Linked DNA regions of Callithrix jacchus. The protein of the gene in region 1 interacts with the protein of each later gene in a biochemical or structural test. Links are inferred from orthologs where the notes say so. Each region holds a gene or a part of one and is shown on either strand. Other genes may lie near its edges.

Region 1 (4,953 bases):
TGTCAGCCAGGCTGGAGTGCAGAGACATGATCTCTGCTCACTGCAACCAAGCTCTGCCTCCAGGATCAAGTGATCCTCCCACATCAGCCTCTCGAGTAGCTGGGATTATGGCTAATTTATACACACATTTTTGTAGAGACGGGTTTCATCATGTTGCTCAGGCTTGTCTCAAACTCCTGAACTCAAGTGATCCATCCACCTCAACCTCCCAAAGTGTTGGGATTACAGGCATAAGCGCCTGGCATTCAAAGCTTAATTTTTAGCAGAACATTTTCTACACTATGCGTATCCCTGTTTTATAAAACAGAGCCAAACACAACTAAATTGACATTGTAGAGTCAAAATAGTTAAACATTATCCTTTTATTCCACCTAATATAACAATGTAGTGATATTGTTGGGACTATTGAAATTCAAGATCAGTTTCACATATGTATAGTGTTTTCAGTTTATGAAACATTTCATTAGTTCATTTTAACCTCACTCAGGTTCCCAAGGTAGATAAGACAGGCATATCATACCCTTTTTATAAATGAGAACCCCGTGGCCTATTGGGTAACTTTCCCAAAGTCCTACTGCTCACTAGTTGCAGATATTGAAGTACACTCTAGGTCTCTATATCTGCACCTCCTCTCCCCTGCTCTTACCACTCTGCTATTTTGCCCTCCATATTAATCTGGTTATCAAACATGAACTATATATATCTAACATTAATATTAAATAGTGAAGAACTGTTCTAATGAGTCAAGTACATCAGCTTTGTTATACTATTTTGACTTTTCAAGACTCCCCACAACCAAATGCATAATCATAAAGACTCCCTGCTGTTCCAGATAGTTAAGAGTGCCAAATAGATAAGTGATCTAACTGCTCTCTTATTTTGCAGTTTTCTTTAGTTTTTTTTTTTAATTCTATAAACCTTCTATTATAGAGACAAGCAGGTTTAAAAATTCTTATAAACATATATTGTCTTTAAGAAATGTAACTCAGTCTATTATGAAAACATTGTAGTACTAACAGTACTTAGTAGTTATGCTTTTCATGGTTTATCTTTAATCCTAAAGCTTTAAGTCTCCTGGTTTGGTACAGCACTTTAATTTTATAAATAATTACCTGCAAGGTAGGAAAAAACACTTCCAAGTATTTTTGAGGTTCCTTTCATGAAAGTTTTCAGTGCATGCGACATTGGAATTAATGTTTAAAAAGAATTGCTAAAGTGACCTGATGTGTCAGGTATTCAGAAAACTGGATACCCATCCTCTGTAGCTAACAGTAAACTGTAAATGATAAGTGACTGTCATTTATATTACTGTATTCATGCATCTGTCAGTCCAACAACCTTTTTTTTTTTTTTGAAACAGAGTTTTGCTCTTGTCACCCAGGTTGGATTGCAATGGCATGATCTCAGCTCACTGCAATCTCTGCCTCTCTGGTTCAAGCAATTCTTCTGCTTCAGCCTCCCAAGTACCTGGGATTACAGGGACCACACCCAGCTAATTTTTGTATTTTTCGTAGAGACAGGGTGTCACCATGTTGGCCAGGCTGGTCTCAAACTCCTGGCCTCAGGTGATCCACATGCTTCAGCCTACCAAAGCATTGAGATTACAGGCTTGAGCCACCACGCCCTGCCCCAACAACCATTTATTGAGGAAGTACTACACATTAGGTCATGAGCTAAGTATTAGTATCACTAAAATGCCCAAGATACTGTAATTGCCCTAGCGGAGCTCAAGGTAAAAACTGAGTTAGTGACACAGTAACTTATAAAAGAATGTAAAGTAGTACTTCTGAGTTCATCTAAAGTCCTGAGATCTTTTCCTAGCTTAGGGAAAAGACCTCCCAGCACTACGTCAAGGTGAGAATGCTGGGCAGGGAAAAAAAACCTATGTGCTCTGGCTATAACAGTGATTCCTTACTATTGATATTGATATCTGGCTCAGTCTAGACATACTAGAGTAGCAATCATTTCCCTCTTCCACACACTTATAAACCAGAACATATTTCTTCTAGCTATAGCCTCAAACTTAAAATATGTGAAATCCCCTTGCCAATTATACACAGGAAGTATAACTTAAAAATTGGGTTGTGTCCATATGTTTGTCTGAACTAGCTCCTAAGAAGTAATGTCTTAAGTCATGCTTAGATTCCTGTTGTAGAGTTCAAAAACCTATATTGCCTGTAATATATATATAGAGAGAGAGCGAGCTAAGGTTCTACAAATATGTAATGAAAAATAAAAGCAACTTTAATATAAGTAACTCTAATAACAGTTTGAAAGAGGGGCTTGTAAATATCTATATTGAATGCTAAAGATGGAAGACTCAATTTGGAATGTGCAATTGGAAATAACCCTTAAATTGGAAGGGCTTTTCTTCAGATAAGCTTAAAGAAAGAGCTCTAAGAAATGGAAGCATCTGCTGGGCGCAGTGGCTCATGCCTGTAACCCCAGCACTTTGGGAGGCTGAGGCAGGCGGATCACCTGAGGTCAGGAGTTCCAGACCAGCCTGCCCAACATGGCGAAAACCTGTCTCTAATTAAAAAAAAAAAAAAAAAAAAGAAATGGAAATATCTAAGTAGCGAGGGTAGTTAACTAGTCTTGATTTAAACAAATTCAAGAAGTATATCTGATTACAGAACTTCCTGAGCTGGATTTTATTTTAAAGGTGTCAGAAGACTCTTACATTTAGATAGGTAATTTTAGAATTTATAATTATTTTAGAAAAAAATACATGAGGTTAATTTAGAAAACTTTTTGAGTGCTTAAGAATTTGTCTTAGAGCATATACATCAGGTTTGCTATACATTTAAAAATTATGTACTGTCACATACATTTTCTCAAAAATAATAAAAGAGCTATAACTTGAATGTTACACATAAATACCTTTGACTCAAAGCGACAGATAACACGTTAGGGCTTCTTGGATGAGACTTTTCTGTCTGTTCTATGACTCCTTTTCCTGCTCTGTTTGGTGAGGCTGTCCGACTTTGAGTATCTCTATATGGTGATGATGTGGCACTAGTAGTTTCTTTATGTATGTGGGTAGGAGATGGAGATGCAATCAATATTTTAATGTCTTCCATACGGTCTTTTGTCACTGTTTTTAATTCATCAGTGGTGGCAGTGGTAGTGGTGGCATTAGAAGTAAGTTCTTGTATCTGAGTCTGCTGGAATACTGTAACTGTGCTCTGAGGGCTTGCGCTTTCAGGGCTTGCAGAACTGCTTTCTAACGGTGACAACTGATCGAAGGAACGTAACTGAAAGTCATCATCCATTGGGATATAGGGAGCTAACATCTCCAAGTCTAAATCGGTGTCCTTTAAAACAGCAAATACATGAGTTTTTACAATGGCCACACTTTATATATAAAAAACAAGTTAAAGTCACTTCAGAATAAAAATTAATGAAATTTAATATAAAACAAATAAGTTCATTTACCTGAGTAGAAAATGGGTTCTTCGCTTCTGTGTCTTCAGCAAAAAGTTTTTCTACCAATTCCAACTTGAATTCATTGACCATATCACTGTCCACATAAAAACAATATTCACTGGGACTGTTAGGCTGTAAAGAGAATTAAATATATTCAGTTTTTCCTGAAGAAGCCTCCATATACTTTGCTAGTTGTCAGAATTTTCAAACTAGATCTCAGGAAAAAACAAAAAACACACAACCAAATCCATCATGTTTATCAAATTTTATCTAACGAGGCCGGCATGGTTGTCCATGCCTGTAATCCCAGCACTGGGAGGCTGAGGCAGGTGGATCATGAGGTGAGGAGATCAAGACCATCCTGGCCAAAATAGTGAAACCCTGTCTCTACTTAAAATACAAAAATTAGCTGGGTATGCTGGAACACGCCTATAGTCCCAGCTACTCAGGAGGCTAAAGCTTGAACCCAGGAGGCCGAGGTTGCAGTGAGCCGAGATCATACCACTGCACTCCAGCCTGGGCAACTGAGTGAGACTCCGTCTCAAAAAAAATTTTAAAAGTTTAGTGAAAAAAATGACATTTTGAAGCTTATACTGGTAACTAATTTTGCCAATGTACGTATTTCTGACTATGTAATATAACATCATTTTTAAAATTAAAAGAAACATCTTATTCTAAAGAATAAAACCAATTTTTGGTAATTTACATCCCACAATGGTACCTAACTGACCAATTAACTAGATGCTACATTCTCTGGAATTTACCTTTGAAATGAGAAGGCACACTTCTATGGTGATTGAGCTACCTAAAAATCTCACAGCTACAGTTGAGGGTAGGAGTAGAGACTTAAGTGCTTTTACCTGCATACACCTGAATGAATATACATTATTACTATTTTAAGAGTTCTGGGCAAGAATTTTAACAAAAAACTATAGCTGTGTATTCTAAACAAGGAATTTTGCTTTCATCATTCTATTATTTTTGTTAGACAAAAACCAAAATGAATCAAACATTTTTTTTGTGCTAGGTAAATTAAGCAAGCAGGGCATAGGAGATACTCCTATACCAGAAGGCTATGAGATCAAATCTCCTACTCTTAGCTTGCCAGTTTTATTCAAATATTTAATGTAGAATTATTTACCACTTATTAAAGCTGATTTATGCTTCATTTATCAAGTTATAGTGTTCAGAGCTAAGTTACCCTACTCCTGAGCATATTTTTAAATGTAGGAAGTCCTGAAATGGAATCATTCTAGATTTAGAAATAGAGCCCTGTGTGACAGCTCTAGTCTTGGTCAGTCCAGCCTTTAAAGATTATTTTTGTTGTGTTTATAGGACAATTAATATCAAGACAGATCTAGAATAAAACAGACCAGTTACTAAGTATTTAATTTATGTAAGACTTGTTACTTTCATGTTATACTTAAAGTTTCAAAATAGTGATGGAAACTGAACTAAATTGGGCAAAGAATTTATAAGGTCCTTTCCCATGTAAACCCTGTTAAGCCTATTGTTACCAGACAGTTC
Region 2 (5,591 bases), on another chromosome or scaffold:
CCAGGCTGGAGTGCAATGGCGCAATCTTTGCTCACTGCACCCTCCACCTCCTAGGTTCAAGCAATTCTGCTGCCTTAGCCTCCCGAGTGACTGGGATTTACAGGCACCGTCATGCCTGGCTAATTTTTGTAGAGACAAGTTGACTAGGCTGGTCTTGAACTCCTGCCCTCAGGTGATCCACCTACCTCAGCCTCCCAGAGTGCTGGGATTATAGGCATGAGCCACCTCGCCTGGCCTATTAAGTGAATCTTAATCTTTTTTTTTTTTTTTTTGAGAAAGTCTCGCTCTGTCTCCAGGTGCCAGGCTGGAGTACAGTGGCACGATCTCAGCTCACTGCACCCTCCACCTCCCAAGTTGCTGGGACTACAGGTGCGCGCCATCACGCTCAGGTGATTTTTGTATTTTTTAGTAGAGATGAAGTTTCACCATGTTGGCCAGGATGGTCTCAATCTCTTGACCTTGTGATCCATCCGCCTCGGCCTCCCAAAGTGCTGGGATTACAGGCGTGAGCCACCTTGCCTGGCCAGTCTTTATCTTTCTTAGTACAGGCGTATCCTTGTGTCTCTTGAAAGCAGTTTACTTTGATTATTGCTTTTGCCCGGGTCTAAAGACAAGGCTTTAGTTAACTTGAATTTGGTATTAGATACTAGCAGGAGTCAATGCCTTCTTTAGATAATTACAGCCTATATTAGTTTGCTAGGGCCACTATAACAAAGAACCACAGATTGGGTGGTTTAAACAACAGAAAAGTATTTTCTCACAGTTGTAGTGGCTAGAAGTCTGAGATCAAGTTGTCAGAAGGGACCAGGCACAGTGGCTCATAGCTGTAATCCCAGCACTTTGGGAGGCCAGGGCAAGCCTATCATGATGTCAGAAGATCGAGACTATCCTGACCAACATGGTGAAACCCCATCTCTACTAAAAATGCAAAAATTAGCTGGGCATGGTGGCGGGCGCCTATAATCCCAGCTACTTGGGAGGATGAGGCAGGAGACTAGCTTGAACCCAGGAGGCAGAGGTTGTAGTGAGCCAAGGTCACACCACTGCACTCCAGCCTGGTGACAGAGCAAGACTCTGTCTCAAAAAAAAAAAAAGTTTACAGAAGAGTTGGTTTCTTAGACCTTTGTTATTTATTGGCTTCTAGATAGCTGTCTTCATGTTCACATGGTGTTCTCCCTCTCTTGTTTTAAGGATACCAGTTATGGATTAGGGCCTACCCCAGTAACTTTATTTACCTTAATTACCTCTTTAGGGACTCTATTTCCAAATTCAGTCACATTTTGAGGTATCAGGGTTTAGGACTTCATCGTATGAATTTGGAGCAGACGATGATTCAGGCATTTTAGGGCCCATACCTATTTTGTATTATCATTGCTAGTTTTTTTGGTTTTGAAAGCTTAGAAAGTGCATGGCAACATTAGACATTTATTCCCTAGAAATGGAAGGTGTAACTTCAGAGACCTATTCACTTTGAGAGAGTTCCTTGTCTAAGAAAACCCACAGAAAACTGGATGCAGTGGCTCATGCCTGTAATCCCAACATTTTGGGAGGCTGAGGTGGGTGGATCACCTGAGGTTGGGAGTTCGAGACCAGCCTGACCAACATGGTGAAATCCTGACTCTACTAAAAATACAAAAATTAGCTGGGCATATTGTCAGGCGTCTGTAATCCCAGCTACTTGGGAGGCTGAGGCGGAGAATCACTTGAACCCAGGAGGCGAAGGTTGTGGTGAGCCGAGATCATGCCACTGCACTCCAGCCTGGGCAACACAGTGAGACTCTCAAAAAGAGAGAGAGAGAGAGACAGAGACAGAACCCAAAGACAGTCTAGGACAGTCAGATGCTAGAAAAGATTTATTCGTATTGTAGATCTTAAAAAATTCATCGACAGCAAGTAAGGGAGTACATAATGGAAAAAGCCACTGGCCTGCTGTTTCCCTGAGATTCCAGATGTGCTTTTGCAGATGTTCCTCCTTCCAATCTAACCTCCCTTGTCTGCTTCCCCAGTGAGGTCATAAGCAAATATTTGTGTTAGTTTCTTGTCACCATGGTGACTAAAGAAGCTCAGCATGGTGCTCCTTCCAGCTTCACTGTCAGCTGTGCTTGAAGGAGAGGCTAGCGTCCAGGACAGCCTAGGCTCAGTCATGAAAAGCCACGTGTCAGGTAAATAGGGGACAGCAGTTCACAGTGCTGCCTTTAGAAATCTGTCCTCTACCATGTTAGTCTCACAGGGATAATCAGGCCTCAAAGGGAGTGCAGTGGCACAGACACAGCTCACTTATAGCCTCAACCTCCTGGGCTCAAGTAATCCTCCTGCCTCAGCCTCCCAACTAGCTGGGACTGCAGGTGTGTACCACCATGCCAAGATAATTTTTGTATTTTTTGTGGAGATGGGGTTTCACCATATTGCTCAGGCTGCTCTGGAACTCCTGGGCTCAAGCAGTCTGCCCACTTTGGCCTCCCAAAATTCTGGCAATATAGGCTTGAGCCCAGGCTACAATGCCAGTTTAAAAAAAAAAAGAAAAAGATTATTCCAACCTGGCCAACATGGAAAAACCCTGTCTCTACTAAAAATAAAAAAGTTAGCTGGGCATGGTGGTGGGCACCTGTAATCCCAGCTACTCAGATTACAAGAAACTCACTCAAGAAAATCACTTGAATCCAGGAGGCGGAGGGTACAGTGAGCTGAGGTCGCACCACTGCACTCTAGTCTAGGTGACAGAGCAAGACTCTGTCTCAAAAAAAAAAAAAAACTTCGTGGTAAAATGTATGTAACAAAATTTTTCATTTGAGTGTACAATTCAGTGGCATTAATTACAATTACACTGTTATGTGACCATCATCACCAATATCTATTTCCAAACATTTTACTGCCTCTAACAGAAATTTTTTTTTTTTTTTTTTTTGAGACGGAGTTTCGCTCTTGTTACCCAGGCTGGAGTGCAATGGCACGATCTCAGCTCACCACAACCTCTGCCTCCTGGGTTCAGGCAATTCTCCTGCCTTAGCCTCCTGAGTAGCTGGGATTACAGGCACGCGCCACCATGCCCAGCTAATTTTTTGTAATTTTAGTAGAGACGGGGTTTCACCATGTTGATCAGGATGGTCTCTATCTCTCATGATCCACCCGCCTCGGCCTCCCAAAGTGCTGGGATTACAGGCTTGAGCCACCGCGCCCGGCCCAGAAATTCTTTACCCACTAAGAAATACCTCCCTATTTTCCTTTCCTCTCAGCACCTGGTAACCTCTAAGCTACTTTCTGTCTCTGAGTTTGACTCTAGGGACATCAAGTAAGTGAAATAAGATTTGTCCTTTTGTGTTTTGCTTATTTCACTTAGCATGTTAATTTCAAGGTTTGATCATATTGTAGCATGTATTAGACCTTCATTGCTTTTTATGGCTGAATGATATTCATGGTATACATATACAGTAGTCCTTTTCTTATCCAGAGGGAATATATTTCAAGATCCCCTGTAGATAGCTGCAATGGCAGATGGTACCAAACCCTATATACTATGTTATTTCCTATACATACATACCTATGACAAGGTTTAATTTATAAATTAGGCCCAACAAGAGATTAAAAACAATAATAAGAGAACAGTTATAACAGTATGCCAGCATCATCACTCTTACACTTTGTTAAGTAAAATAAGGATTACTTGAACACAAACCCTGCAATATCTGCTACGAGCTGGCAGTGTATATAGTGTGGATACACTGTACAAAGAGATGATTCATGTCCCAGTTGGAATAGAGCGGGTTAGTGTGAGATTTCATTATGCTACTTGGAATAATATGAAATTTAAAACTTATGAATTGTTTATATCTGGAAATTTCCATTTAATATTTTCAGACCACAATTGTCTATGGGTAACTGACACTTTGCAAAGCAAAACTGTGAATAAGGGAGGAATAGTATAAGAGTACAATTGCTGGATTATATAGTAGTTACGTTTAATTTTTTTAGAAACCACTATTCTGTTTTCCACAGTGGCTGTACCATTTTCCATTCTTACCGGCAATCTACCAGGTTCTAGATTCTAGCCAATGTGTGCTTTTATTATTTTTATTCCATCCTAGTAGGTGTGGATTAGTATCTCATTGTGGTTTTTAAAACTTTTTTTTTTAAAGATGGAGTTTTGCTCTTGTTGTCCAGGCTGGGGTGCAATGGCGTGATCTCAGCTCACCTCAACCTCCGCCTCCCAGGTTCAAGTGCCTCAGCCGCCTGAGTAGCTGGGATTACAGGTGTGCACCACCATACCCGGCTAATTTTGTATTTTTAGTAGTGGGGGGGTTTCTCTATGTTGGTCAGGCTGGTCTCAAATTCCCGACCTCAGGTAATCAGTCTGACTCGGGCTCCTGAAGTGTTGGGATTATAGGCGTGAGCCACTGTGCCTGGCCTAAAACTTTTTTATTTATGTTTTTCAATCAGCTTTCTCAGGTTGAGTCATTGTAACTCTACCTCCTGAGTTCAAGTGATTCTCTTGCCTCAGTTTCCCAAGTGGCTGGGATTACAGGTGCCGGTCACCGCCACACCCAGCTAACTTTTGTATTTTAGTAGAGACGGGGTTTCACCATGTTGGCCAGACTGGTCTCAAACTCCTGACCTCAAGTGATTCACCAGCCTCGACCTCCCAAAGTGCTGGGAGTACAAGCATAAGCCACCGTGCCCAACCTTGATTTGTATTTCTCTAAGGACTAATGATGTTGAACATCTTCTCATATGCATATTGGCCATTTATATATGCTTTTAGAGAAATGTCTATTCAAATTGTTTACCCATTTTTAAATTGGGTTGTCTTTTTGTTCAATTGTAGAAATTCTTTATTCTGGATGTTAAACCGTAATCAGATACGTAATTTGGAAATATTTTCTCTCATTCTAGAACATGTCTTTTCACTTTCTTGCTGGAGTGCAGTGGTGCGCTCTTGGCTCACTGCAAGCTCTGCCTCCTGGGTTCAGGCGATTCTTCTGCCTCAGCCTTCCTAGTAGCTGGGACTACAGGTGTGTGTCACTGTGCCCAGCTAATTTTTTTGTGTTTTTAGTAGAGATGGGGTTTCACCATTTTGGCCAGGCTGGTCTCGAACTCCTGACTTTGTGATCCACCTGCCTTGGCCTTCCGAAGTGCTGGGATTACAGGTGTGAGCCACCATGCCTGGCCTTCACTTTCTTGGTAACATCTTTTGTTGTTTGTGCTTTTGGTATGATGTCTAAAATTCCGTTGCCAAATTCAAGGTCATAAAAATTTACCCTTATAGTTTCTTTTTTTTTTTTTTTTTTGAGATGGAGTTTTGCTCTTGTTACCCAGGCTGGAGTGCAACGGTGTGATCTCGGCTCCCCGCAACCTCCGCCTCCTGGGTTCAAGCAATTCTGCCTCAGCCTCCCAAGTAGCTGGGACTACAGGCAGATGCCACCACACCCAGCTAATTTTTGCATTTTTGGTAGAGACGGGGTTTCACCATGTTGACCAGGATGGTCTAAGTCTCTTGACCTCGTGATCCACCCGCCTCGGCCTCCCAAAGTCCTGGGATTATAGGCGTGAGCCACCGTACCCGGCCCTGTAGTTTCTTTTTAATTTTTTTTTTCCCT
Region 3 (4,061 bases), on another chromosome or scaffold:
CCGCTCAGAGACAAGTGATGGCTTTGCAGCCGGAGGGAATAGGAGGGAGCAAAGACACATGGAGTTTGGGTGACTCCATGAAAAACAGGATTTTGATATATATGTGTCCCTGGAGTGTGGTAGCATGATCTGGGATCACAGCAACCTCCACCTCCCAGGCTTAAGCGATCCTCCGGCCTCAGCGTCCCAAGTAGCCGGGATTACAGGTGTGCACCACGACGCCTCGCTGTTTTTGATTTTTAGTAGAGATGGGGTTTCATCATGCTGCCCAGGCTGGTCAACTCCTGAGTTCAACTGATCCGCCCACCTCGGCCTCCCAAAGTGCTGTGATTACAGGTGTGACCCACCATACCCAACAGCTGCCCAGTTTTGTATTCTGCATGAAACTGTAATGGGGGATACATAGCTTTATGCATTTGTGTAACCCCATAGAAACTGTACAACACAGACAAGGACCCTACTGTGAAACATGGGCTACACTTTACAATAACATATCAGTATTGGCTAATCAACAGAAACCAACACACCAACTAATACAAAATGTCAGTAGGAGAAACGGGGGGAACTGTACTAAAAATCAATTATTTTCAACTGCAAACTCAGGTTAGGGAGCAGACCCAAGAGGTATCATGGACTCACTGACCATTAGGGTAGCAGGGGAGGGAGGACTCAAGGACCACTGACAGGGCTTGAGCAACTGGGCATCTGGCTGGGTCATTACTCAGACAGGACAGCTGTAGACAGGCCCAATGAGCAGTTGGATGTCTACATCTGAAGCCCACGGGGTGTAGTGGAGCTGCTGTAGCCCAAAGCAAGTGTGATTAGGAGAGAAAAGGGCTGGAGGTGGGACACTCAAGAGCCAAGCAGAAGTACTGAAGAATGGGAGCCCGCTGTTGAGCTTTGAGCCTGAGCGGCCGAGGCTTGCACAAAACACATTCGGCGTGGCCGAGCAGGCCTCTGAGGCAGGGTCTCTCCCGGAAGTCTAGGGCCTCCTTCCCTGGGGCCACAGCTGCTGAAGGTTATGAGACTGGGGAGTCCCACCCCCAAGGCTCTCACAAAGCTCCTCCCTTCTACTCGGGCCTGGCAGGATGCCCTGGCTTAAAAGGCTGTGAGGTTCACATCCCCACCAGACAGAGGAGCTGGAGAAACACACCTTCTAAATGTGCAAGCGCACGTGCGCATACACACACACACACACACACACACACACACACACACACACAAAGTTCCCCAGTGCCATAGAGCGAATTTATTGTGAAAGCTCGTGGGGTGAGGAAGGGCCGGGGCAGGCTCTAGGAGGCCGAGTCGGAGGCCTCTGAGCTGTCTTTGACATCTGTGCTCTCTGTGGTCTCGCTGACCTCGCTGAGGTCCTTGCTGTCCCCTCCACTATCCTCAGCAGCCAGGCCCTTCTCCTCACGACAGGCCTCTCCTGAGTTCGGAGGTGAGCTGCCTTTGCTCTCCACCTTGTTCTCCATGGCGCCCAGCACCATGTGCCTGCCCTTCTCCTTCAGCTCCAGGTGCCGCCTCAGCTGCCGCCAGGAGCCCAGGGAGAAGCGGGAGCAAAGATACAGGGCCTAAGTTTCCAGACAAGGGGAGCCTGGACTTGTCGCTGGCTGAGGGGACGGGCATAATGAGAAGCAGCAGGGCTAGGAAAGACACACGGGACTGAGTGGGGACACCTGGCTGGAGCCTTGCCCACTGCTCCCTGGGTTCACTGACTACCATGGAGGCCCCCACGACCGAGTGCTGCCCCTTCAACAGCCCTGCCACCTTGGGCAGAACCCTGACTCAGAACTACCTCTGAGCAGGCAGGCCACCCACTGGTCCCAGGCTGTCCCACTTCCCTTCTAAAAGCCTCCTCCGTCTGCCTCTCCCACCACCCTCCAGGCTGCTGCTAGGCAGACAGCCTCCTCTAAAGCCCAGCCTAGGAAACTGAGGCCGTGAGTCCTGGCAATGTGGCCACAAGGGCTGGCGCCCAAAGTTGGTCTTGCTTCCAGCCACTGTCCCAGGGCTCTCAAGTGCCGCCACCTCCCCCCCGCCCACAGGGCCGACCCCACTGGCCTCGCTTGGCTAAACTGCAGCGCTCTCACCTCGTCCGCCATCTGGGTGAGATCCCGCTTCATGGCGTAGGCATCCTCCCCATCTGCATAGTATTTGGGCTCCACTTCACTGATCCTGGGGGCAGAGGGCAGAGAGCAAGGAGGAAGACCCATACCCAGGACACATCCTCCTCTGCTCCTGGCATCATGGCTACTGAAGCAAGGTGACATGTTTTCTCCCTGAAGGCTCCATCCTGAGACAGCAAGTCCAGCCTGAAAGAATCCTCCAGTGGCCCCACTTCCAGTAAAGGCTCCAGGTAACAGTGGCCCGCCCCACCCCTGTCCTGTTCCTGTTCTGTGTCCTTAGCCTGGCTACTAAGGATTCCCCTTCTGTGGTTTCTTGTGAGCTGAAGCCCTGAATTCAGCCTTCCCCTTCCCTTTCTGCCCTGCTTCCTATCCCTTACTGAGCTGCCTCACCACAGTGATGAAAATACAGGAACGTGGGTGAGCCCGTTTGAGGGCTGCATCCCTATGCAGCACAGCCCAGCCCGCACTGGGGAGGCACGCGTGCAGGCTCGGGTGGCCATGTCCTGGAAGGCTGGCCCTGTCAGACCTCAGACATGAGGACTGTTGACTTCACTATAAAGCAGTTTCCACCAGACATCCTCATCTGGGTCACAGATCCTTCCTGCCAGCACCCAGCCGAGGCCACCGCCCTTCCCAACAGTCAAACTGGTGCTGAGTGCAGTTAGCATCCCTCCACGGGCACACGGGTAGCCCACCCCAGCTTCACTTGCAAGCACTTTTTTCCACTGTCTACTGGGCACACTGACTGCCAGGTTCTCTCTCCTGGGCCAGGCAAACGGGGCCTCCGGGTCCTCGGCAGACCTGCCCCATCCACTAGGCTGCCTGGCCGCCGGCCCTTTCTTCCTGAACATGCATTCTCCTTGCTTCTGCTCTCTCTTAGATGCTTCCAGGCGCTTGGTCACACAGAGTCCTGCTCCTTAGCATCTGCTCATGCCAGAGACCCACACATCTCTATTCCCAAACATGACTAAACAACCCTGTGCCCTTCACCAGCCTCAGCCAGCATGGGCCAGAGCTCCTCCATCACAACACACATGGAGCACATTTCAGCCATCAGCCACCAAGTGAGTGGGGAGGCATCTTGGCAGCGCTGGGATCCACAGCCTCCTCCCCGTAGCTAGCCCACCCCCTGCCTGGAAAGCAGCTCAGCTGGTCTCAGCGGCCCTGACAGCCAGACCTGGGACCAGCCCCAACCCATTACAGACACCAAGATCTACTTACTGAAAGTTGAGGGTGTTGGAATAGAGGTGCAGGGCGGCCCGGTTACTGCAGGAGAACAAGGCACTGCTGAGCTGCACGGATTGGGCCAGGTAGGGTAGCATGTCCAGGCCCTGCCCCTCCCCTCTGGTGCCTCCTTCCCACCAATCCCACTTCCCGGGTCTTCACCAAAAGCCAAGGCCCCCAGGACTCCCGTCAAGGCAGCATCTCTCCCCTCAATCCCCCTTCCCTCAGCCCAGCTTCCACCTCTTCCTGACATGCAGGGAGACGTATTTGGCATTGAAGTTCTCTATCATCGCTCGAGAGGCCTGGTCCATCAGTTTCTGTGCCAGACCGAGGCGCCGATGGGAACGCTTCACAGCCTGGTGGAAGAGCAGAGAGGGGATGAGGGGCTGGGACCCTGAGGGCTGCCCCAACTAACCCCCACTTCCACCCCCACCAGAGCCTGGGTGGACTCTACAAACCAATGAGGTGATATGTCCATGGGGCACATCATCTGGGTCTTCTTCCCTGGAGAGAGAGGAAGGTGAGGCTGCAAAGGAGCTCTGTGTAGGCACCTCCACCCCCACCCCTGCCATACGTAGAGTGGACATGCAAACTCTAGGCTGGCCCTACAGCCACCTAAGACCCCAGCTGGGGGAGGGCTGGGAGCCTCTTGGATCAGCGCAGCTGATACTGCCACCCTCTGCTGCCTAAAAACCCCATGCATGCCGGGTG

What was found.
Region 2: the proteins of HIF1A (region 1) and KPNA6 form a complex in vitro, tested with the Homo sapiens proteins (2 studies listed by BioGRID). The link is inferred for Callithrix jacchus from reciprocal best matches to the Homo sapiens genes HIF1A and KPNA6.
Region 3: the proteins of HIF1A (region 1) and NAA10 form a complex in vitro, tested with the Homo sapiens proteins (4 studies listed by BioGRID and IntAct, with this or other methods). The link is inferred for Callithrix jacchus from reciprocal best matches to the Homo sapiens genes HIF1A and NAA10.

Annotation. Positions count from the first base shown.
Region 1 is NC_133509.1:96,454,536-96,459,488, reverse strand, and holds part of HIF1A (hypoxia-inducible factor 1-alpha), read right to left. Parts: intron 3,559-4,953; coding exon 3,436-3,558; intron 3,315-3,435; coding exon 2,881-3,314; intron 1-2,880.
Region 2 is NC_133508.1:68,746,578-68,752,168, forward strand, and holds the start of KPNA6 (importin subunit alpha-7), read left to right. Parts: upstream 1-2,065; 5' UTR 2,066-2,068; coding exon 2,069-2,162; intron 2,163-5,591. UniProt on the Homo sapiens protein: Functions in nuclear protein import as an adapter protein for nuclear receptor KPNB1. Binds specifically and directly to substrates containing either a simple or bipartite NLS motif.
Region 3 is NC_133524.1:149,841,441-149,845,501, forward strand, and holds the end of NAA10 (N-alpha-acetyltransferase 10), read right to left. Parts: intron 3,855-4,061; coding exon 3,809-3,854; intron 3,707-3,808; coding exon 3,591-3,706; intron 3,393-3,590; coding exon 3,348-3,392; intron 2,313-3,347; coding exon of another isoform or gene 2,176-2,312; coding exon 2,091-2,175; intron 1,575-2,090; coding exon 1,293-1,574; 3' UTR 1,227-1,292; downstream 1-1,226. UniProt on the Homo sapiens protein: Catalytic subunit of N-terminal acetyltransferase complexes which display alpha (N-terminal) acetyltransferase activity. Acetylates amino termini that are devoid of initiator methionine.